Tribolium castaneum: one gene and its partners. The protein of the gene in region 3 binds, or shares a complex with, the protein of the main gene of each other region. Links are inferred from orthologs where the notes say so. Each region holds a gene or a part of one and is shown on either strand. Other genes may lie near its edges. The genes, in order: MED7, MED23 and MED16.

What was found.
Region 1: MED16 (region 3) and MED7 share a complex: the UniProt entries of both Homo sapiens proteins name them as parts of the mediator complex. The link is inferred for Tribolium castaneum from reciprocal best matches to the Homo sapiens genes MED16 and MED7.
Region 2: MED16 (region 3) and MED23 share a complex: the UniProt entries of both Homo sapiens proteins name them as parts of the mediator complex. The link is inferred for Tribolium castaneum from reciprocal best matches to the Homo sapiens genes MED16 and MED23.

The regions. Positions count from the first base shown.
Region 1 is NC_087402.1:3,007,318-3,014,206, forward strand, and holds MED7 (mediator of RNA polymerase II transcription subunit 7), read right to left. Parts: upstream 3,577-6,889; coding exon 3,385-3,576; intron 3,338-3,384; coding exon 2,864-3,337; 3' UTR 2,849-2,863; downstream 1-2,848. Other genes in the region: cass (apoptosis inhibitor 5), read left to right, coding at 815-886, 934-1,422, 1,468-1,674, 1,722-2,294, 2,343-2,496, 2,545-2,618; small ribosomal subunit protein eS10, read left to right, coding at 3,905-4,345, 4,395-4,430; RING finger protein 141, read left to right, coding at 4,597-4,736, 4,782-5,003, 5,051-5,194, 5,293-5,458. UniProt on the Homo sapiens protein: Component of the Mediator complex, a coactivator involved in the regulated transcription of nearly all RNA polymerase II-dependent genes.
Region 2 is NC_087394.1:35,201,139-35,209,484, forward strand, and holds MED23 (mediator of RNA polymerase II transcription subunit 23), read right to left. Parts: upstream 5,467-8,346; coding exon 5,053-5,466; exon of another isoform or gene 5,008-5,052; coding exon 1,519-5,007; 3' UTR 1,460-1,518; downstream 1-1,459. Other genes in the region: Tcs5 (EKC/KEOPS complex subunit TP53RK), read right to left, coding at 1-404; uncharacterized protein LOC658853, read left to right, coding at 688-784, 830-1,369, 1,416-1,459; stress-associated endoplasmic reticulum protein 2, read left to right, coding at 6,871-6,954, 7,013-7,123. UniProt on the Homo sapiens protein: Required for transcriptional activation subsequent to the assembly of the pre-initiation complex. Component of the Mediator complex, a coactivator involved in the regulated transcription of nearly all RNA polymerase II-dependent genes.
Region 3 is NC_087396.1:16,566,294-16,574,639, forward strand, and holds the start of MED16 (mediator of RNA polymerase II transcription subunit 16), read right to left. Parts: upstream 3,854-8,346; 5' UTR 3,737-3,853; coding exon 3,663-3,736; intron 3,615-3,662; coding exon 3,471-3,614; intron 3,426-3,470; coding exon 2,977-3,425; intron 2,928-2,976; coding exon 2,775-2,927; intron 2,730-2,774; coding exon 2,533-2,729; intron 2,483-2,532; coding exon 1,941-2,482; intron 154-1,940; coding exon 14-153; intron 1-13. Other genes in the region: tyrosine-protein kinase Src42A, read right to left, coding at 5,016-5,224, 5,273-5,429, 6,521-7,027. UniProt on the Homo sapiens protein: Component of the Mediator complex, a coactivator involved in the regulated transcription of nearly all RNA polymerase II-dependent genes.

The DNA of each region.
Region 1 (6,889 bases), on a different chromosome or scaffold from region 3:
CCAAAGGTTCGCTTAGCGTCGTGGCGCTTCTTGATTTATGTCGTCGCCAGTGTTGAAATGCCTCCCGAGGTTTCATATCATGCTGATGCGACGCGCTTTGAATTTTTATATTGCACACTATTCCAAATAAATTGCCACCATTACTTTCATAATTATTGCTCTTCTTATCCCCCACTTTTAAATCTTTAACTTACCTTTTACTGTAAAATATCTTATTAAAAAAATAATAAATGAAAATAAAAACTTTTTTTAAATGTTTCTGTCCTTAATTTTTTGTAACGTGCTCTCAATTAAATCGGAGATCAAAGTGACCGGGATTTTGAAGTTGGCAACATTGAAGATAGCTTTTTATTCAGTGTTACAAATTTAAAATATTATGAAATAATGTGTCATAACTCACAACTTCATACTATAAAATTACTTTTGATTTATTAATTTAATATACACTTGGTTCACGAAGAACGAACAGAATGGTAGGAATTTAATTGAAGGTATTTATTTAAAAGATGAAACTTTAGTAAAAGTTTGCATCTTAAATCCGCCATTACTGGTAAAAAAATTATTACGTAAATCACCCTTTTAAATTTAATTATGGATGTGCCATCTATCGCTCAGTAGTTCAAACCCTGTGCCTTGTAACAGTTTCCTTCAATACCGGCGATTCAAAATGGACGATGGGCACGCTAAAACAACGATGACCGGTTTGTGATCAAGTTTGTGTAAATTATCGAATAGAATTACATAAAAACGCCACGAAATTATTTCATGTTTTATACCACATTTCGACTAATAGATTTATCGAAAAAACAGTAAGATGAGTGACAACTTGGAGAAGTTATACGAAAAGTATAACATTTTGTCAGATGCCAAAGACAAGGTCTCCCAGGTGAGCACGACATTTTTCCCCCAGTCTGGTAAAACATGAATTTGCAGCATTCAAGCGAATATGTCGAGAGCTTTGAAGGTATTAAAGGCACCGAAAGCGAGAAAATGCTGGCAGCACAAATACTTTCAAAATTTTTCAAACACTTCCCCTCACTGCAAGATAAAGCGTTGAATGCGTTGCTGGACTTGTGTGAAGATGAGGAGAGCAAGATTAGAGCTTGTGCCATGCGGTATTTGGTTTCAATTTGCAAGGACGTGAAGGAACATTTGACTAAAGTCACTGATATCCTTGCCCAAATGATGCAGTTGGAGGAACAGCGAGACTTCACAACTGCGTCTTGGTGTCTTTTGCAGCTGTGGAAGCAAGACTCTGCTAATGTTCTTAGGACCATGTACAATCATATTCGCTCTTTAAGCAGCGCTGCAGCTAGAGTTAAATGTCTCCAATTTATTCACTTGAAGTTTATCAAGCCCATTGAAAGCCAGCCGACAGAAATCGAGAACATTGTAGTAGAAGAATCGAAAAAGCTTTTACAAGTTTGTCAACTTTCCAAAATGAAGTGAAAAAATTTATTCATGTAGTTGCAGGATGATATTAGCTCTGAGGAAATCGTGTTGATAATAAGTTGCTTAAAAAATTCAAAATACGCTAAAACGGCCGCAGGTCAACAAGAACTGTTAGATTTCATTTCCGAAATCATGGAACTTGACCGGGATTTTGACCCGCTTGAAGACTGCATTGTTGACAGGGTCATTATTTGCACCACACATGCTTTACCATTTTTTTCAGTAACAATTTTTTCCCATCTTGTCACCTCTCTAATTGTGTTTTTTAGGCAAAAAACGAGTCAACAAAATTCGTGGCTTATTACTGCGACCAGATTCTCCCCCAGTGGGACAAAATCGCCACTCTGGAGCAAGGCGAATTATTCCAGCTTCATCTCCTGCGGCACTTGGCCGAGCTTAGCATCTATTGCGGAAAGTTCGAAAACCCCTCCTTGCACGTAGTCCAAATTTTCGACAAAATCAAGCTGTACATGCCAACGCCTCCCGAAAACGCCGATGTGTACAAAATGCCCAACTTGGAGTTCTCCTTTGTAGAGTGTTTGTTGTTCGCGTTCCATCGCTTGGCTCGACAGTGCCCCGATTTTCTCACTCATGATCCCCAAATATTGAAAGATTTCAGAGCAAGACTGGTTTATTTTTCTAGAGGAGTGCAAGGTTGCAACAAAGTTCTGAACTCGAAGCCGATCACAGGCCTAGATTCCGTGAACGCTTCAAAAGCCAAAATTGCGCCCTCGCTACTCAACAACATCAACGTTTTGATCAAAGACTTGTTCTACCAGCCCCCAATGTACAAATGTAACGTCACGCTTTCTTTCAAGCAGGAGGTTGTGGAAAAGGAATTGGTGGGATTTTCGATTTAGTCTTCTAGTCTTTAAAATTAAAATTTGCAGAGGAAACCGGCCACAAGTGGGCAAAAAAGACATGTGCCTATCACGTTCGATAATGGCTCTACAGGGACTAAACAGACCCGACCGGCTCGTTCGGGCGACAACGTTAAATTGTATACACCACCTAGTGGAAAGTTTAGTAATAACTTCCAATACGGTAAATTTTATGGGAAAAATGTCTATTTGTTTTAATGATTGGTTTCAGATCGTGGGGGTTCACGAGGTAACAGGTCGAGAGGCCGTGGCTCCCGAGGAAGGGGCAGAAATTGGAGAAATTAATTTCAATCACCCTTCTAACAGTATTGCAGAAATGCAATTCAAATCATTATGTTCAATGCTTATTAGTAAGTTATCAAAACAATACACAACCCGCTTGTGTTGTAAATACCCTAGATCTTATTTTTTTTAATTAGTTCAAGTTAAAACGTGTGCTGGTTTTAATAGTTTGTGTAAAACCTCTAGAAATTTAACAGAATATGTTTTCTATTGTCTTAGAGTTCAATAAAACATTTGGAAAACTAACTTTATTGCATATCATCCACAATCTTGCACATAATCCTATCCAAAATAAAGCACGGGTCTGATTTGTTGTCCTCCTTTGAAGCCTTCTCTTGGTTTACTAAAAGTTCGGTTTCTACGAGCAACTTTGAGTCAACTTCCATGGGTTCAGGCAGGTTTTGAATCGCTTGTTGCAAAATTTCCATAACTTTGTCTAAATGCTTCTGGAACCTATTGGCGGTCTCAATCCTTTGTCGCCTTTGCAACTCCATCATGACCCTAAGCGTCTCCCTAGCCTGATGTGGCCGGAATTCGTTCAACAAGTGGTGAATGTGAATAAATAACAGACTTAAATCTTCGACTTTCTCAGCCCGCTTTGGCGAGTCGGGACAATTCACAAGTAGGTCTAGCAAGTCCAAGAAATTGGCCAACAATGACTGATTTAATTTTTTCAACTCCCTTCGTCTATCAAAGTGGAGTGGATACAAACGTTTGATTCCCTAATAAAATTATTAGTTTTAACCACGGGACGTATTTAGGGACTTACTTGACTCTCCAAAGGCCTGATTATGCTCTCTTCGGTATTGAAGGCATTGCCGAACATATGATACGTGTCTTGAATCGGAGGCGGCGGCCTGGGGGTTCGCCCCCGCCGGATCATCTCGTCCGTGTAGTGGTTGATGTACTGCATGGGGGGCAGTGGCAGGGAACTCACCTGGATCGCTTCCGACGATGCCATTATTTATTTTAATACAATAATTAAGAAAAATACAGTTGTTGACAAACGACAAATGTCAAAATTACATAAAAACCATCACAAAAACCTAAAATTACTAGTTTATTGGCAAGCCTGTTCCTTTTTCAGTTTGACAGCTGTGGTAATACCGCGTCAAGTAAGCTATTTTTTAAAATTCGTATTTATCTTAATCATCTTTGTAATAAATTTGACGAAAATCAATCACAGATCATTCTTTTTTCCTTTATCGTGAATCTTAGCCCTTTTTGTGGAGTTTAATTCACGTTAGGGTTTGACATGTTTTATAACCTCAACCACGGTTGATTTTAGGATGTTGATGCCCAAAAAGAACCGGATCGCGATCTATGAATACCTCTTCAAGGAGGGCGTCATGGTGGCTAAGAAAGACACCCATGCCCCTAAACACCCCGAATTGGAAAGTATTCCCAACTTGCAGGTGATCAAAGCTTTGCAGTCTTTGAAATCGAAGGGATACGTTAAGGAACAATTCGCCTGGCGGCACTATTACTGGTATTTGACAAATAACGGTATTGAGTACCTGAGGACCATTTTGCATTTGCCGCCTGAAATTGTGCCCTCAACGCTCAAGCGACAAGCTAGGACCGAAACAACGCGTGCTCGTCCCACGCCATTCAAATCAGAAACTTCCAGTAAGCCTGCCGAAGACCGTGCCGGATACAGGCGGACTCCCGGGGGGCCTGGATCTGATAAGAAGGCTGATGTGGGGGCTGGCACCGCTGATTTGGAATTTGTAAGTTATGGTAGGGGTTTTTGACGATTTTTACCACGGTTTGTTACAGAGAGGAGGCTTTGGGAGAGGAAAAGCGCCCCAATAAATTAAGTTTTTTATTACAATAAGGCATGATCAGCAAATAAAACCTTGTCGATCGTTAATTGTTTTATTAATTCCCTTTACTCCTGTATAGAGGACGCCATTATAGACGTCATTGTGACACTTGTCAAAATTGTTTACAATAATACATGTGATTAATTCGTGTAATAATGGGACAACAGAGTTCCCAATTTCACGAGTATTTTAACGATATAATCACGGATGAGCCCGTGCTTACTTTACTCTCTGAAGAAATTCATACTCTTAGTTACGAGAAATTTTTGACAATACTTGGGGAACTCAACCAACTGTAATAACAGTTCCTGTGTGGTTGTTATTCATTGTACTATTTTAGCTCCAAACAGCGTTTAGATTCCGAGGGGAAACAGTTAGTGTTTGCTGTAAAGAAAGGGACAGATTCTACAGTTTTCTGGAAAGCTACGGTGCAAATAGCTTGTGTTAAAATTGACTCTAATACTCAAAAAGTGAGTACGTACCGACTGTTAAACCTTTATGAGTTTTTAAAAGTGTTCAAGACACTTAAATGTCAGTCTTCAGCTGAAGAACAGAGCCGAAAGTATGACTGTTGAGCTAAAGTTTTTTACTGATTTAACTTTTTATTAGTGGAATGTCCGTCTCACAAGTGGTTCACGATATTACGGACAGTCCTGCAGAGAACACAAAAGAATGTTGCATTTGTTTAGAAAGGAAGCATGAAGTTATTTTGCCCTGTATGCACAGTTACTGCTTGCCGTGCATTGAGGAATGGTTTGTTTTTTTGAACTTGATCAGAAATCGGAAAAAAATGTTATTAAAAATCAACTATGATACTTTTGTTATTCAAGTAACTGTTAGATTTTTTTAAGGAATGCCACTCATGACACGTGCCCGATTTGTAGAGAAAAACTGGAAAGTACCGATGACACATGGGTTATATCTGAGGTGCCAGAAGCAGAAGAGATTAGCAAAGAAATCAAGTCCAGTTTGATGGAACTTGCTGAAGACAAGGAATCTCCATGTTTACCTTCTTAATAGTCTGACATATGATTTCATGTTGTTAAATGTTATTTTACGAATTGATAAATACATCTCAAAACATACTGTGTAGTTATTTATTCACGTCAAAAGTGGCGCGATCTATAGGTTCACCAATACCACGACAGAGAAAACAAAACCTAGAATAACACTTATAGAAGCGGAACATAATGGTTGGCAATGAATTCCTAGCTGAAGCCATCTAGCCGCATCATCACGTACTAAAAATGGCGCGAATTTAAAATAATTCCGATTACTTTATATTTTTTTAATTTTTGCTCACGTCAAAATGATGCCAATACCTTATCAAATACAATTATTATGAAAATTTCTTAATTGTATTTGAAAAGGTGGATGCACAGACAGCACAGATGGAAGAATTTTACCCAACATGACACGATCACATTTAATGTTAAAGATATTTATTAAATCCATTAAGTTTACGAAACTAATAGTCGTCACCGAATCGATGATAAAGACATACTTGCAATCAGCCAAACTGGCACCGGTCTGGCACCTTATGTTTGCAACTTCTGTCTATGGGAGTCTCCTCGCAGTGTGACTCACTTGCGGTTCGATCTCAAAAAACTCACTTTTGGGAAAAACGCACCTATCTACGTAAACCTTCTGGAGCCCATTACTACGTTATATTTTTGGAGATCATGTTGTTCCTAACCGATAGTAGGCAATAGTCTAACCTAAAGACGACACTTTGATCCACTATAATAATAAAAATTAACGTGATATTATAAAAAATAAACTCAAATTAAAATCAACAAAAATGGCGATTCAAGTAAAAAGTGAGTGAAAATAAAAATTATTTTTCTAATGTTATTTTCAATTTGCACAAGAAAATTCATAGTGTACGGTCATCAGGGCACTCAGAGGAATCGTTTGGTGTAAGTTTCAGCTTGAAAATCCAGAAGTAGTTAAAGTAAAAAATTACCAAGTTATACTTTATGTTTTATTACGTGGTAAAGTTAACAACACACGTTAACATACCCTTTATAAACGTTTAAACACCCTTTTTCATGAAAAGGTTGACACGAGAAGTGCATTTTTCAATAAATCTCAATGAAATTTATGTCGTTGACTCAAGGTAGATTTGTCTGTCCTTAAACATGTTTAATAATAATTAATAGCGCTCTAGAAGAGCAGGAAAGCACACAAAAAACATTAAAGTTAAAATTTAACACTTCAGAAGAGAGCATAATACACCCTAACCCTACTTTCTGAACTTTTGTCCTTATCTGGCAATAGTACATAATAAAGGTAGAGATTTCGACCCTAAATATCCTATCATAACGCTCTGAAAGGGCAGAGATGGAGACAAAATTCATAAAAGTGTAAATTTTGTCATTTTCGGGTGACAACATAACCCTACTTTTGGAACCTACCGAATTTTCAACAAAACGAAACAAACAAACA
Region 2 (8,346 bases), on a different chromosome or scaffold from region 3:
TTAACAAGTAGCATGTTTGATGTTGTCAAGTCCCCGTGAATGATGCTATTGGCATGCATTTTGCCCAACACAGCCCCAATTTTTAACGCCAACTTACTTATAACTTCGTTACTTGCTTGTGCTATGAAATCCTTGACCACGATACTGTTCTCAAAGTACTCCATAAAAATAGTACGGCGGTTGAAATCAACTAAATATAAGGCGGGGGTCCTTATTCCGGCAGATTTACACCGAATTATTGAACGACTTTCACTTTTTATCCGTTCTTTGGTCAAGTGTGAGTCAAGATCCGGATGCCGGTATTTCTTAACGAATCGTTCTTTGGCAATTGCGGGTTTTCCCAAATACACTCCTTTGAAGATTCGGCCCTCGGCACCTTGTCTGAACAATTCGAACCCTTCCATTTGCAGTAGTTTTTAACTAATTCCAGTTTTCACTCTTGCTGTTGACACAAAAAAGTGAGGTTACGTAATTGTAAATATTTATTGTTAATTACGAGCTGATCAATTATGTTTATCGTTCCATTACACTGATTACTCTAAGACATTACAATTTCCAATTTTTTGTATTAATATTACTCAATAACAAAAAATTCTACTCACACGTTCAACTGAACGTGACATTTATGGGTTATGTTATCTAACCTAAAAAATAGTCGCATTTTAATTTTTTACTTGATAGTAAAGCATGACTTCTGTCGAGGAGAGCCTTGAGAACGCAACAATAAATTCATCATCGACTGATAATTCCGATGACTCAAGTAGCGAAAGCAGCGATGAAGAAGGTAGCGTCACAGCCCCCAAAAACTAGACTTAAAATGATATTTCAGTACCCGACTTTCCCATTGCCATGTGGGATTTTAATCAATGTGACCCCAAGAAATGTTCAGGCCGCAAATTATCGCGTCTAAAATTAATTAAAACCCTAAAAGTCAAACAAAAATTTCCAGGGCTGGTATTAACCCCGACTGGCACTAAATGCGTAAGTCCCAATGATCGCGACATTGTTTCAAGCAAGGGGGTAGCCGTGGTGGACTGCTCATGGGCCAGAATCGACGAGACACCCATTGCAGCACTCAAGCCCCAACATGGGCGCTTATTACCGTTTCTCGTGGCCGCAAACCCCATCAATTACGGGCGACCTTGCCAATTAAGTTGCGTTGAAGCGATAGCCGCAACTTTGTACATCACCGGATACAAAAAATTAGCTCGGCAGTATTTAGATAAATTTTCGTGGGGACATTCATTTATCGAACTGAATAAAAATATATTGGAGGTATATTCAAATTGTAGCGACAGCCAATCGGTGATTGCCGAACAGACCAAATATATAGAAAATGAGCAAAAACAGCAAGAATTGGCCAAACAAGGTATGTAACGACGAAATGTTACCAATTAAATAACAAACTGTTTTAGCGAAACCGGATTTTCCAAGTTCAAGGGAGAGTGAATCGGATTAAGTTTTTTATTTTTTTATAAAAATGTATTTACGTAAATGTAAAAACATAATACAAGTGAGTTACGATGCATTAACTTCCTCAATCGCCAAATGTGCGATAAACCTCAACCTCATTTGCAAAGGCGGTCTTAACCGGCGCACCACAGTCTCCAACTCCTTCTTCATGCTATCCCCCACAAACATGTACTTAATGTGGTACAAGAGATCGCAGATCGGGTCCATATATTTCAACTCGCTGTGCGCGTGGTCAACTTGTGCCAACAGTTCGTACAAAGCACTCGTCAATTCCACTATTGCCACGTTAAACCGTTGCAAAAAGGGCCCCACAAGATGACAAACATAGAGAAACTGTTCTTCGGACCGTACCACAGCCGGTAAACACTCACGCGCCCATCGGGGCACACTGGCGATCTGCCCCGGACCAGCGTGATGCCAAACCGAATGAGCCAAAGCTAGCATATAACTAAAATTATTATGCAAAAGCCCAGCGTGGGTTTCTTTGAAATCGAACAAACGGAAGGGAGAACAGTCAAAATTCCACGTTTCTAGCTCGTTTAACGTGGCCACAAGTCGATCGTGTAGAACACTCCAGTAGCTAACTGGAAGCGCTGCCAGAATTAAACCAACAGCATTGACCCACTGGTGGATGTCTGACGAGGGAATTGTGACATAGCCTTTGGCCACGACGTCTAGCAAACCGTTGGCTACGGCCACCGGACCGGCGGACAACGCCATCAGTTCCACACAGCTGGTGTAAAGAATATGAGCCCCGGCGTTTGGGAACTCATTGAACCGCCAATCAATTACGGAATTGGCAGTGGCGCCCCCTAGAATATCAACGACTCGCTTGACCACTTGTATGTAATAGTCCAGTTCGGGGGTCCACATCTCGTCAGCAGCTCGTCCGAGGTACAGTTGGTAGGGCTCCGAAAGACTGTCTTTGAGTGTCCCTAAGACAGCAGCCACCAACCGTCGTTTCAAAGGTGGACGGTCCCTAAGCCTAGTCTCGTAATAGTGCAAAGTGTTGTACAAATAAGTGACCGGACGGTCATGAAACTTGTACAAACAACCCAAGTGTTCTAACAGAATCTCCAAACTTTTGGTGACTTGCGGTATTTCCAAAAACCGGTGCACCACTATATCAAAAACCGGCAAAAAGCGCAAACACACGTTGCCAAAATAGGGGTGGTAACCACTTGACTGTTCCTCGGGGGCAAACTTCTCGGGGTATTTCCGGTGAAACTCCAAGTGTTTCTCGTGCCAGTTGGTCTGGTTCCAATGATCGGGCGAGTTGTCTTTGACGAAATCCTGCACCCGATTCCTAAACTCTGTAGCTTTAAGCAACACCAACTGGATGATGAACGAACAGACTTGAGCCTCGCTCCCTTCCTGCGTCCGCAGCGCCAAACACAAGACCAACCGATCGATTGTCACAATATTGTACTTCCAGATCATGTCATTGATCGTATCCACGCATTTGTTAACATGTTGCCCCCCAGGACTGTTACTAAACTCGAACACGAGACAATCACAAAACTTCCTCAAGTGGGCCGAAAGCGCCCTTGCCCCAATCCTCTCCAGGATTTTGTAGGCAATTGGCGTGATGTGATCAGTCTCGAGGAGCATTTTCCACAACAAACAGAGGAAAAGTGGGGGCGCTCCCGCAACCCCAAAATGCGCCATCATGTCATTTTCGTTGTTCATGGACGACCACTTCCGGTACTCCTCCTCCACTGCTTTCTTCAATTGTTGTTTGTTTTCTTTAGGGACGGCATGTTGCGTGAAAAACTCGGCCAGAGCCCTGGGGAAGCATTCGAGGGTGTGGGGGGCCCACGCATGGGGGGTACTTTGTGCAATGGTCGCCAGCAACTCGTGACACCACGAGCCGTCGGCCCCCGTCACGTGCGTGGCCCTAGCTAGGGTCAAAACCAGCGCCCGATTCAACTCTTCCGATTCCGCCGAAATTAACGTCTTGGGTTCGGCTAAAAAGCGGCTCAGTTCGGGCTGAACTTCGCCACTGCCCAGCCCCGTGATTAGACGCAAAGCGGTCGATTCGACACATAAGTGCAGTTGGGTTTGGTTGGCTTGCGGCACCGCTGCCAACGAATGCAAGTGGCTGAGTAACTGGACACGGTAGTGGGGGTGGATGTGGTGCATCCGATAACTAAACATCTCCAGAAGTGTGTAAAGGGTGCCCCAAGCGTGTGACTTGTATACGGTTGGCAACAACTGGCTTATGAACCCTTTGATGCCCAACGATTCGATCTCGGTGTACACCAACAGGCGACTGTACGTTTCCACCAAAGCTGGTGATAGTGGCATTCCTAACTTGGCCTGTGCTAGTTTAATCACGTGTGTGACAATACTATGGATTAAGCTCATTTTCGAATGCACAGTTAATGAGTCCAAGACGGCCATGCTTAAAGGCGCGGTAGGTGGGGCTGTTGATTTGGGGCTCCCTTGGATCGTCTCAACTAGCGCTGCCATTGGCTTACTGTAATAATCGGGGTTCGTTGAGTAGGCGTTGCACAACAAGGCGATTCTGTAGTCATTTCCCATCGCTAACACGGTGTTATTAGGGGGCACCAACTGTTGGAGGAAATCATGATGGTTGCGTAGTTTGGCGGGAATTGGCCAAGTCAAGTTGGTCATTTCGGCTTGCGCTTTCTTAGTCAAGTGGATCCAAATGCACGTCATTGCCATCTGTCTCGTACACTGGGGCTGGTTGAAGTCCGGAACGGGCAAAGGGGGCTCCTGTTCCGGAAACAACAGTTCGTAAAGCCGCAAAACTGGGAGGAAATTCGAGAGGGGGTTCTTCTGAATCGAACCGGAAATAAACTGCAAGAGGACCCACATGAGTTGGTCGCGCCCTCTCCGCAAGTCGCGCCCTTGCAGTCTCGAATGCAACGATATAACAATGTTTGGGAAACTCGCAAATTGGAAAAGAACAAAATAAATTAACTGGGACGACAAGTGCAGCCATAACCCTTGAGTGGCGCTCTCATCGCCCTCATTTTCCGTGCGTTCCAGCGCCAAAATCACCAACTCGACCAGTTGTTCCTCAAGGGCGGCACAGTGTCTCTTGTGCTGTTTCTGCAACCCTAACATGCCACACACCATGTCGCGACTGTACGGCTGTTCCAGAACGTATCGTAATAAACCGGTTTGCTTCTCTAGTAATTCGGGAGCGTACGGTAAAGTGCCCTTAAGCGAGAATCGCAACGTGCACGGGTCAAGTTTCCAGGGATTGACCAAGTGTTCGGGACAGCCGCTGTGCTCCACAACTGGCCGCATTTCCGCCTGGCCTACGATAGCCACCATTTGGGCACAGGCCCGAAAACTGCCAACGTAATCGGAGAAGAGGGCAGCAAGGCGCCAGTGGGGGCAGTCAGGGTAGGCCTTCTGGAGCTCGTTCACTAGGAGATAGCCAGGCAGGAGGCACGCGTTCCTGTCCATGATTCGTTCAGCGACGCTTAAAAGAGCCTGGGTTTGGGGCTGCAAGCCCGCGTTCAAGCGCCAGGGGAGACTTTTCGCCTTCTCGCAACATCCCTACAATCAACAATCAAACAATTACCACAACAATTCCCCACTTACTTTCATAATTTCGCGAACGCCCTTGTATTCAACCAAATCTATAATTTTCCGCACGAGTTTAAAGCACTCGATCCAGAACCGCGCATTGGTGTGTTGTAGTTTATCGAAATTCATCACCACCTCACACACGATACGGGCCCCAATGGTACCGTTGCGCACGACACTTTCCAGGAGCTCCATCAAGAGCTGGAGCTTGCTTTGGGAACATAGTACAGCAGTGTTGAGGTACTGGCGAAGGGCGGTGTCTAGCTGCTCCTGGGGGATGCTCCGCAGGGCTGTGTTCAACTCTTGTTGCCATACAGCCACCTTTTCCTTTTCGGCACTGGGGCGGTGCACTAGAAAGCAACTAAAGGCTTCTTCGATGCCTTCAACTTTGAGAATGTCGGTTAGGACGTTTGTTAGTGGCTCGCCCATCGTGTCCACGGTTATTTTTCAGGCGAAAACATTATTTTGTGGTTATTTGAATGGGATAATAACGGTAGGTTATGTTTGGCCGACTACATGTTTAGGCAACACATTATACAAGCGCCTAACACTGCAGAACCGTATTCGATTATTTTGACTTGCTGGGTGAATCCTCAGAGATAATAAATAATTGCGTGCGTTGTAAGATGTTATCAACTCTCAAACAACGTCAATCTAAATTATTCCATACCTAGCCACATTGTAATAAAATTCATATCAGCCCGAATCTATTCGTTTATTTGCATATCCACTTCATACGTGAAAATTTGTTTGCTTATCTTTTAATAAAGGCAATATTATTACCGCACGTCTCGTTCATTATGCGCTTAAAGAGTTCTTTTTGTCTCACATTTCGATATGAACTCACAGTTCATAGAACAGGTGAGGTGTCACTCATTTAAATCGTTTTAATTTATTTGTTTCTTCTCCCTAGGTGCAAATTTTAATGCACGCTCAACAAATTAAATGTGCGGAAAGTATTTTTGGGAAATCAAACTACATGTGGCTTTGCAGCAAAAGAACTCCCGTTATTTGGATGTCGACGAAAGATGAATTCTTAATTCGACAAGCCCTAACAAAGGTACAATTTAATTGTTGCAATTAAACGTGCAATTATCCTTCTTTAGGTCACTCCTGACCAACAGGTGAAAGTTATGAAACAATTATTGACTTGGCTGGATAATAATCCCGAAGTCCACTCTTTGAAAATCCCTGAAATGTCGCTAAAGCTCCTCAACAACATGGCTAATGCCAATGCCATGAATGAAAGGACTTTTTCAAGAATGAATAGTTTCAGAAACAGTCTGAGACGCTTGTCCTTAATTACGAACCGAATCGCTCCCGCAAACACACCCAGAAGATCCGTAACTTTCAACGACGTTCCCATAATTTACCGCATAAAATACTGACAAAAAAGTAACGAAACCTTTACAATATCTATGTAAAATTTGTGCCGAAATAAATGCACCTTAAAATTTTTGTTTTTTGAAAAATCTGAGTTAAAAATCAGGGTAAAAAGTCAAATTCAACGTTGTTTTTGATGTTTGAAAAAAATGCATAGAAGATAGGAAAATGACCAAGAAAACTAGGCATATACTTGATTATCATAAATTATTGCAAATTGAATGAACCCATTGGAAATTTCTAGCACTCCCTCCCTTGTTTGAAATTCTCCACGCGTCCGTGGCGCATGCGCATTTTCATCTTACGTGTCAAATAAACGTCAAAAAAGCGCCTCCCTTGCCCCTCTCCGCACTTTTCGGGCCAGTGTCGAGGCACGGACGTGTCAAAAACGCGTGTGTATGTTTTTCTGTTGAATTATTTCCACTTTTCCGTATTTTTTTCCTGTGAACGATGGCTCCCAAACAGCGGATGCGTTTCGCCAACGAAAAGGCCAGCAAGAACGTGGTCTTGCGAGGGAATGTGCCCAAATCGTCGGTGAGTACGCTGGACCATATTGTTTGTTGATGGGGAGCTGACGGTGCCCCTTTTGCAGAAGCAGCAAAGCGAAAACTCGCCAGTGGGGCCCATGATCTTGGCGCTGTTCATCTTCGTCGTGTGCGGATCGGCGATTTTCCAGATTATCCAGTCCATTCGGATGGCGTAGGCTAGGCTTCCCTCAAAGGCTCAATTCCTATCGTGTATAAACCGTGTCTGTTCAGTTATTGCATTTTGTTGTTTTCTCTATACTTATTTTGTAAATTTATCGTTTGTGGAATATAATTTTATCAGAATTTTTATCATGTATAAAGTGTATTTTTACATAAGTTGTACTAGAATTGGGTGGTACTACTTTACGCACAGATGCCTATAATGAGATTCTTTTGTAACCATTCCATGCTTAATTTTAGGAGACAATTTGTGTAATTACCATATTTTCAATGACTATTAAATTATTGAGTTAAAACCTCGTTTTATTTCATTGCATTACCTACACTCACAACTAGTTGTGTTAGAAATGGGGAGTAAAAGTAACAGACAAACAGTTAAAAAAAAGTATTACCCCTGTTACCTCACTGAAATTTCAAGTTCGGCAAATTTCATAAAGAAAAAAATTAACAAACAGATATAAAATCAGAATGTATGGTTTGTGGAGTGTATTTTGTGTTGCATTTGTGCCTAATCAGGCGCGGAATCTTATCAATATCTACAAAATTGTTATTTAAACCGATTTTATCAATATTTCGTTTTTTCTTTTAGCTCTAGCAATAATTTATCTGTTATCGGAACAAAACACAACAAGAGGATTGTTTTTGTTATCAATAGGTATAATTATTACGAACATACAATACTATTACTTCGTGTCATTTTTCTTCTACCGTTTTTCTTAATTTTATTCACATACAAAATAATTGAGCCTTTTCTCCCTAAACTAGGTTCTCATCTTGTGAAGAAAATTTGGTATTTATCGATAGCTTCTGTGTTCTGCATGAATTAAAAAGAAACAATTTCTACATTATTGTACCCTTATTACTAAGTACATACAATTTTTGGAAGTCCAAATACAGTTTGCAAGCATTATAAAAGACATAAAAAATCGAATTAGTTTAATTTTGGATTAATTTTTAATTTGCTTTCTGTAAACCAATCCTTATAATAATTATTATTAATTAATTACTTTCAAAAATTTTTTGTTATTAGTAATGTTTTTTTTTATACCAAACCACTTTAATAGAAATCGCTTTTGAGTTATTTATTTATTTATTTTTATTACAAAATGTTTATTTCATTTAATTTTTCTTTAATTCTAAATTTGAAACACATTGCCCCCACTCTAAAAAAAATGTGAATCTTCCTTAAACGTACATTTTATATTAATTTAAAATCTGT
Region 3 (8,346 bases):
ATGATTTACTGACTTGCTAAGGAATCAGCTGGACTTTTGTCATGACTGCTCATCTCGCTTGGTCTTAGAAGGCTTTTAAAGGCTGTAGATATGCTGTGAAGCATCAGGAATTGAGCCAGATCGTGAGCCTTCACTTGGCCTTGAACGCTCAACCTGAAATCCAGATAAATACAGACTATAACTTAGAAGATTAGTAAATGAGATACAAAAACGCTAGATTTTATACCGTCTCGGAGCCAAATCGTTTTAAATTAATTTGAATCTAACCAATTCACTAATTACTTGGAAAACAATGCAAAAGTGTTGAGGTTCACAAACTAAGAAAGTGACGACTAAGAAACATGAGAAAAAAATTATTTAAAATTTAAAATATGCGCTTCGTCCCGTTTTTCAAAACGTTGTGGATACGGTTAGATTCAAGAAAAATGTTAAAAAAAATGTAGAGAATTAAATTTCCTTTAAAAAAGTCAGCGAGACGATAATATCTCCATTGTCAACGGTTTAGGCCCTAAAGAATTTCAAACACGTTGAAGCGAAGGATTCGTTTCATTTTACCGGTGGTCAAGTAACATAAAGTTAATTTATACCTAAACTACAGAAGATAGCGCACTTTTTTTTATAAGAAACTTAATTTTCTACAACTTATTTTGTATCTCGAACCATATTTTGATAAATATGCGACGGTGTGCAAAAAATTGTCGCTTCGAGTTATGAATTAAATTTTTTGTATTATGTTTATGTCTTACTATCTGGCTGCATTTTTTGTTTACTATATGATTACCGTTAAACAAATACAACCATTTTTTTTGCTCTCAAAACTTATACGGAAATGCAAAAAGAGCGCTCTCTGGCAAGGACGGGAACGCTTTATTTGCACATCGTTTCATATCGTAACCACAGACATAAAATCCTAACTTTTAGATATCCGAAGGTAGTAGTACAGACAATTGCTAATTACTTCTAAATTATCTAAATTATAAACTTAAAGACTACTGCAATGTCACAGAAATTACGTGTGTATGCAAAATTTCAGCTTGTTCAGATATCGGAAGATGAATTTTACTCGCAAAATTCGAGGTGTTGCGCCTAAAGCACACATTAAAAGTGTTTCCGGTTCCAATAACAATATTCATCAAAAAATTTGTTTAGTCAGGTATCAAAATATTTTCAAGGTGGTGGCACTTCCGCTTATACAGAAATTGGAAACATTTTTTTTAGTGAAAAGCTATATTCTTTATTGCTTTTTTTTGGCTACTCAAATTTTTCTCAAATATTTTGTGTTTATGTTTCCTTTTGTTTTCTAGATATGTATTTATATTTTTTTAAAACTGTTTAGATTTGCACCTTCCCTTTCAAAAATCGACAACATTGTCATTTATAATATTTCGAAATCGTATTTGGGCATTTAGAAGAGAAAGCTTTATTCCCTTATTGGTGTTTTCAAAAAAGTTAAAAAAAACATTTTAAAGTTACGTTTGGGAACATCTCATTTTTTTTAATGTAACCCTAAGCTTTATAAATAACTTGAAAAATATTATGGTGGTTATAGTTGGCTCGATGCAAAATTACTGGTAGTTTTTTTCTTCATTTAGTAAAGAAAGAATCAATTTGGCAAAATTGTGTTTTAAGTAGTTGAATTTCTTCAAACGTAATCTTTCAAATTTAGAGTTTGTCACTCTTTACGGAATTTAAAATTTGAAAAAAATCTAATCATTTTCTTTGAAATACTCTACAGGAACTTCGATTTTTGAAAAAGAAGGTGCAAATCAAAAAAATATAAATATTACAAAAACTGTTAACTTTGCTATAAAAAAACTGGTAAAAACTCCTTAAAATATCTCGCATAATACAAAAATACAGTAAAATCATAAGCTTTCTATTTAAAACAATAATTAAATAATAAAATTTTGTCACCCAATGTCGGTAAACTAGGAACCTACCTGCATAGCGATATTTTCATGCACAAATACTGCACGTAGAAAAACTGTTGCACTGCCGAGGGCTGGCGATTAAAACTTTCGGTGAGTCGGTCACATATCGCGTCCAACATTCCAGGTCTTAACACTAGCAACAAGTCTAACCAATCAAAACCGCTCATCATGCAATACTCTAAAATCGTGGTACAGTAAGGTACACTTAGAGGCGTTGAGCTGTCGATTTGGGGCGGTAACTTAAACATATGCAGACTATCGTCTGAATCAATCACGAGTAAAATATTGCCGAGCCAGGACATGTCAATGTTTGAGATTTTGATGCTAGTTTTGGGGTATCTGGCGAGAGGTTCGTCAAAATAACGCGGACAAATGGTCAAAGTGGTGCTGACCAAATGTTTTAGAGTGTCTCTGTAGAGGCAATGGATGGAATTGTCGGCAAATGTGGCCACGACATAACCACTTGAAACATTATTTAATAGACTTAGTTTACTTGTAGCTAGTGAAGTGACCTTGCTGTTATACTGGAAGTGGCACTGGTATTGCCACAACTAAAAAATAAGTAAGTATCGATTATCACATGATGAGATAATAGACGTACGACAGTGTTAAAAAACTGGGGAGTTTCAGATTTTCCTAGTGATTTGTGAACCGGCAAAGCCTTCTCTCTCAATTCCCACACTTGCAAACAGCTTATTTTATCACTAGTGGCTGAAACAACCACCGAATCTGCGTCCTCTCTCATTATCCATTTGATATGACTTATGTGGCAATTTTTTTCTTTGGAAACTTGTTCCACTAAAACAAACGTTAAACAACGGCTTAAATGACTCAGTTTGTTACTTAATGCTTCCTTAGGCGCCTCAAATAGAAAAAAACTGAGTAAAGACTGGCTTGTGATGACACACTTATCTTCAGCTTTCCTGACAGAGACTTTATAACACTGAATAGGCATTGATAAGTCTCCGTTACTCACAGCGAGCAAAAAATGACCGTCTACACAATAACATTATTTGGTGTTTAAATGATTTTGTAAAAAACCTACTTTTGCCATAGCAAATATCAGCAGCTTTGATAAAAATCCTAGTAGGGGCCAGGCTTTCTGTCGCCATGACCATTGCGACCTGGCTCGTGCTTTGGGGGAGTAAAATCGAGCACAACATTCCCGTCGTTGTGAGTAGCAGGGCCCCACTGGCAGGGCGCCCCCCAAACTGTTTAACAGAGCAGGCAAACTTGACATGGTGAAACTTTTCCGTGTACAAAGCGCTGTCTTTTTTCTCAGAGTTGAGGCAGATTTTCTTGCCCGAGTGGAAAAACGCCGCTGACAGAATGTGCTCCCCTTCTAGGACAGTCTGGAGGACAAGGGTCCAGTCATTTAGGATGTGGTCTTTAGCTTTGTAAATTTTTATCGAGCCGTTTTCGTCCGCGACTAGCAGAAGGTCGCCCGTAAAGTCCCACTGGAGCACCGAAATGGGGGAAGAGTTTGATAATATTCTGGAAATGGAGGTTTAATACAGGAAAGTGTTTTTGGGGACGTACTTGTGGACCTGCCAGGGACTGTTTAAATCGCAGACGTAGACATTAGAGTTCCAAAAGAGGGAACCCGCTTCTTCGATATTGCATTCCGTGCTGAAAGCAACAACGTTGGAGCTTGAAATCGAGCATAAGGTTGACTTCTCGAGTCTGGAATTCAAACGGTTGGTAAATGGTTAACTTTCGTTTGGGCGGTACTTGGTGAATGATAGATGCTTGCTGGTGTCCACCGATTTATTTATTTTCTTATTAATGGTGAAAATATGGTCCATTTTTCGGTATTTATCTAATGAAGCATCTTTTTAAAACTTTACTGAATTGGCAGATTTTTGACACCTGACAGCTGTCGGGCATACGCGTGAATGTACGCTGACGAGAAATCTTCTATTCTCATAAAATTGCTCACAAAAGTAAATTACGAAGTGTTGTTCGAATTGTGTAAGCTCTGAGTTTAGGTTTGATGGATAGAAAAAAAAATAAAAGGTTAGCGATTAGTAGAGAATTCTCATGAGTGTACATTCTCGGGAGATGCAATACTGGTTGCGCGCGAAACATTGCCAACGTTACGAGGGACAACATAAAAGTATCCAAATACGAGAAGTACCCACCTGGGCGGAGTTTAATTGGATATTGGTGTTTAAATACTGGATGTCTTATTTCAGTTCCTTTTCAAACCTTGCAATAGTAAAGCAAGTCCACATGCGACTGCTTTAAAAACCCCTGATTTAGTAACCTTTTTTTAAAGTAGTCATGCCCCAGTGGGTGCTATAAGAATTTAGCAAACTCTATTTCGTGGAGGTGGTTTGAATAAATTGCAACGAAAATTGTAAAGGACTTTTATTGTATATTCTAAGTGTATAATACAAAAAATATTTTCATAATGGCCTATAACTGTATAAACAATGCCTTTAATAACAATCTTAAAATAATGAAGACATAAGTTGTGACTAAAACAACCAAGAAACAACGCCTTTCATAAATTAGTACCGATTTTTAATAACTGTAGGGCATCTGGGAAATAACGCTAGAGATATCGGATAGTGTCACTTGAGAGGAATGTTATTCGTTTTTAAAAAATAAATGCAAAAGCGTAAGTACTTAGGGGAATTAGGTAATATGCACAAGCAACAATTACACATCGTTTCATTCTTATTGGTAGACACGAATTGTGCGTTTAAAAGTTTCAATCGGGGAAAATTTAACGTTGTCGAATTTCACTATAAAATTACATAAAATCTTAAAATAAATTATTATATAAAGAATATTTAAAAATAGATGAGCCAGAGCGAAGAGCCCCATTCACGATGTATAAAAGGAAGCAAAGTTTAAAATTAAAATCGCAAAATAGTGGTTTGTGATACCTAGTCGACGTGTAAAAATCTGATAAAACTTCACAAACCATTATTTCAAACACAAGCATAGTCACGACAAGAAATAAGAGTACGGGCATATCTATCTATTGTTACATAGAAATAGATATCCACCTCCCCACTAATGGTAGTGTAAGTCAATCGAATTACGCAGCCAGTCAGCAGGGGGGTGGGCGTGACCTCAGTAAGCCGACGCTTCTTTGTATTCTGAACCTTCCATGGTGAAAAAGTCTTCTAATTTCCACTGTAACGTCTCAAACGTCGGCCTTTTCATTGGGTCACGGTTCCAACATTCTAACATGATATCGTAGAGCGGCGCGGGACAGCCGGGGGGCGACGGCATGCGATACCCGTGCTCGACTTGATGCAACACCTCGGCATTGGTCATACCTAAACAATCGACAATCAACAATTTACCGACCAATTGAAATATCTCACCTGGATATGGTATTCTGCCGTATGTGACGAGCTCAGTCAGGAGAATTCCAAACGACCATACGTCGGATTTTATCGAAAATTTATTGTAATTGGCCGCCTCGGGAGCCGTCCATTTTATGGGGAACCTTGCACCGACTCGCGCTTCATATTCATCTTCCTGTACGACAAAAACCGTTAAATGTAGGCCACTTTTCGTTTATGACCCAAATGAGGTCACAAACGGCACATAAAAACCGAAAGACGTTTATGACTGGCGCAGACGGCCCTGACAAACCGAATTATTTTGTCACGGCCAACGAAGCTACCAAACTTTTCACGTAGTAATTAATTTCCGTAAACACGCTTTTTAATTTGGTATTATAACATAACGCGATAAAAAGTACTTTCATTTAAACTTGAAAGCAAGGTTAAATCACTCTTTCTTTTAGAATTACATCGGAAAGTGTTTTTATTAGCGCTAAATTGTTGATATTACACAAAATTTTACTTAATATTGCGTTCATAAAAATCGCAAATGTGTCAATGTTCAATGTTTATGCAAATGATTCATTTTTTAAAAGACTTGACTGCCTTAAAGTACTAATTTGCGAATACAACAATTCAAATAAGCATGGACACACCGACTATTGTTAAATATTTAAATAGATTTGTGTTCAAAAATGGCCTCGTCTCCTATTAGAAGCCCACATTTGCAACGAATTGAATTTCCAATGACGTCACACTGCATTCTAATTTTTTCCAACGACCTGGCCGTGACAAAACGCCAACTGTCGATTTTTTCTGTTCTTCAAGACCAAAATATTTTTTGGAAGCTTATTACTTGCGACGTGAAAAACTCTGTGGTTGTGCAAAATATTAATAATAACCAATTATCAATACAAATTATTGATAGTTGTTTCACAACTATTGACAGTTGAGCCTTTTTATCAGAAAAACGTGACGGCCTACTTCACTTTCTGACGCATCTACTGTTCTTATCTCTTCGAACAGTAATTTGCGGTTTGTGGTCTTATTTATGCGACTATTAAATTCTTTATTTCAGTTGTATAAAAAATTAAAATTTGAACTAATTTTATGCACCGAAACCGCAGTGCTCCCCGCAAAAAATCCAACTTTCAATCTTCTCCGCCTCGCAAAAATTTCTGATAGAATCTTCAAACTTCGAATAAACCACCACTTTCTCCAACTCTTACTTGTATTTTTTCCCATCTTCCGTTTCCGCGTGCTTCTAAATATCATAATACCAACCTTTATAAGCCTGGCGAGTCCGAAATCGGCGATCTTCACTACATTATTATCGGCCACGAGAACATTCCTCGCCGCTAGATCCCTATGTATGTAATTCTGCGATTCTAAATATGCCATTCCGGCGGCTATTTGTGCGGCCATATCGATCAATTGCTGCAATTTCAGACTTTTGCCTTTACCCTGTAGATGTTCCAACAGCGAGCCGTTTCGCATCAGTTCTGTGATGATATAAATCGGTTCTTCAACCGTGCAAACGGCATAGAGTTGGATCAGTTTCGGATGCCTAAGTTTTTTCATGATTTGTGCTTCTGCGAGGAAATCTTTCGGGTCCATCGTTCCAGGTTTGAGGGTTTTTATTGCAACGGGTGTGGTGTTGTTCCACATACCCTCCCACACTTCGCCGAACTGGCCGTGGCCTAATTTTCGGACGAATTTCAGCGAAGAACGCTCGATCTCCCATTGGTCCCTTGTGCGGTGTGATAAGCCCTCCGGCTGGGGTTTTTCGATCTGAGTAACGAGAAAATATCGATCAGGTTCCGCGAAATCAGAAAGGACAGCGAAGGCAAGGGTCATGCGGTGGAGGCGATAAAATAACATTGTTTCAGAGACGATTATTTCAGAAGTATTGACGGAAATGCTTTTCAAAATAATGCAAATTTTCTTATCATTGTTTTACGATGACGGGTATTTATAATTCAGCATAAACTGATTTCGTAACTGCTCTGACAATTTATTTCATAATTTTAATAATTCAGGTCAGTTTGTCATTGATAATTATTACTGTAATATGAATTTTTTCATTTAACAAACAGAAATACATAATTATAATTATAGTCTCATTAGAGTCATAAACGTTAGACAAAATATGGATACAAAATATCGAAAATAAAAAACAACCATTACACTACAATCAAAGTAAAAAATTATAAGTAAATTTGTTATTTTGTTCAAAATTCAAGTTAAAATAAAAGGATGTACATATCAATTGATACATATCTGTTTTCTGTATTTTTTTTATACATTACTTCTCGAATTGTTCCACATTAGTAGGTAAAAATGTATACATAAAAATTAACCAATATGATGATAGAGCTTTTATGGTTACAACAGTTTTATTTTCCTCCCCAGGAAGTAAGCCTTACGGAAAGTAAAATATTTTTCTGTCTACTGATATAATGACATACTTTCTATTATAAAATGAAAAGGGAAGAAAATCACGACTTTCTTATTATTGGTTCAAACCTACATTGTTTTATTAATTTTAACATAGATTTTATCACAGTTAAAAATACAAGGTGAGTCGGTAAAAAATATATTTTTATTTCAGAAACTCAATCATACAGAAAACAGCGTTTGCTATTTGAAGACTTTTTATTTTTCTCTACGCATGTAATTTTTTTTAATTTTTTTGTAGAATTTCATATAATCAAAATCAATTAATTAAGTCGTTAAGGCGTTGCAGACTCACAGGGTATCACGGGATAATATTTTACCATACATATTTTTTATTTGCTTTTGAAAATGTTTTACTCAAAAATGGTACATTTTAAAAAAAAATCAAAAAAAGAGATAAAAAATCGTAAATTGAATGGACTTTTAAATTCAAGTAATACCAAAGCCATGAAACAATTTATGTATTTATTTTAATAATATTCTACAGCCTTACAAATTGAACTGTTAAATTAAAAAAACGACTGCATACCAAATTTTGTAAAGTACTATTTTGAAAAATAAAAAATATAATAAGAACTAAAAAACGTTTTTAGAAAAAATAAAAAATACAGGCAAAATTATGCAAAAATATTTGAACATCCTCGCGGGACGTC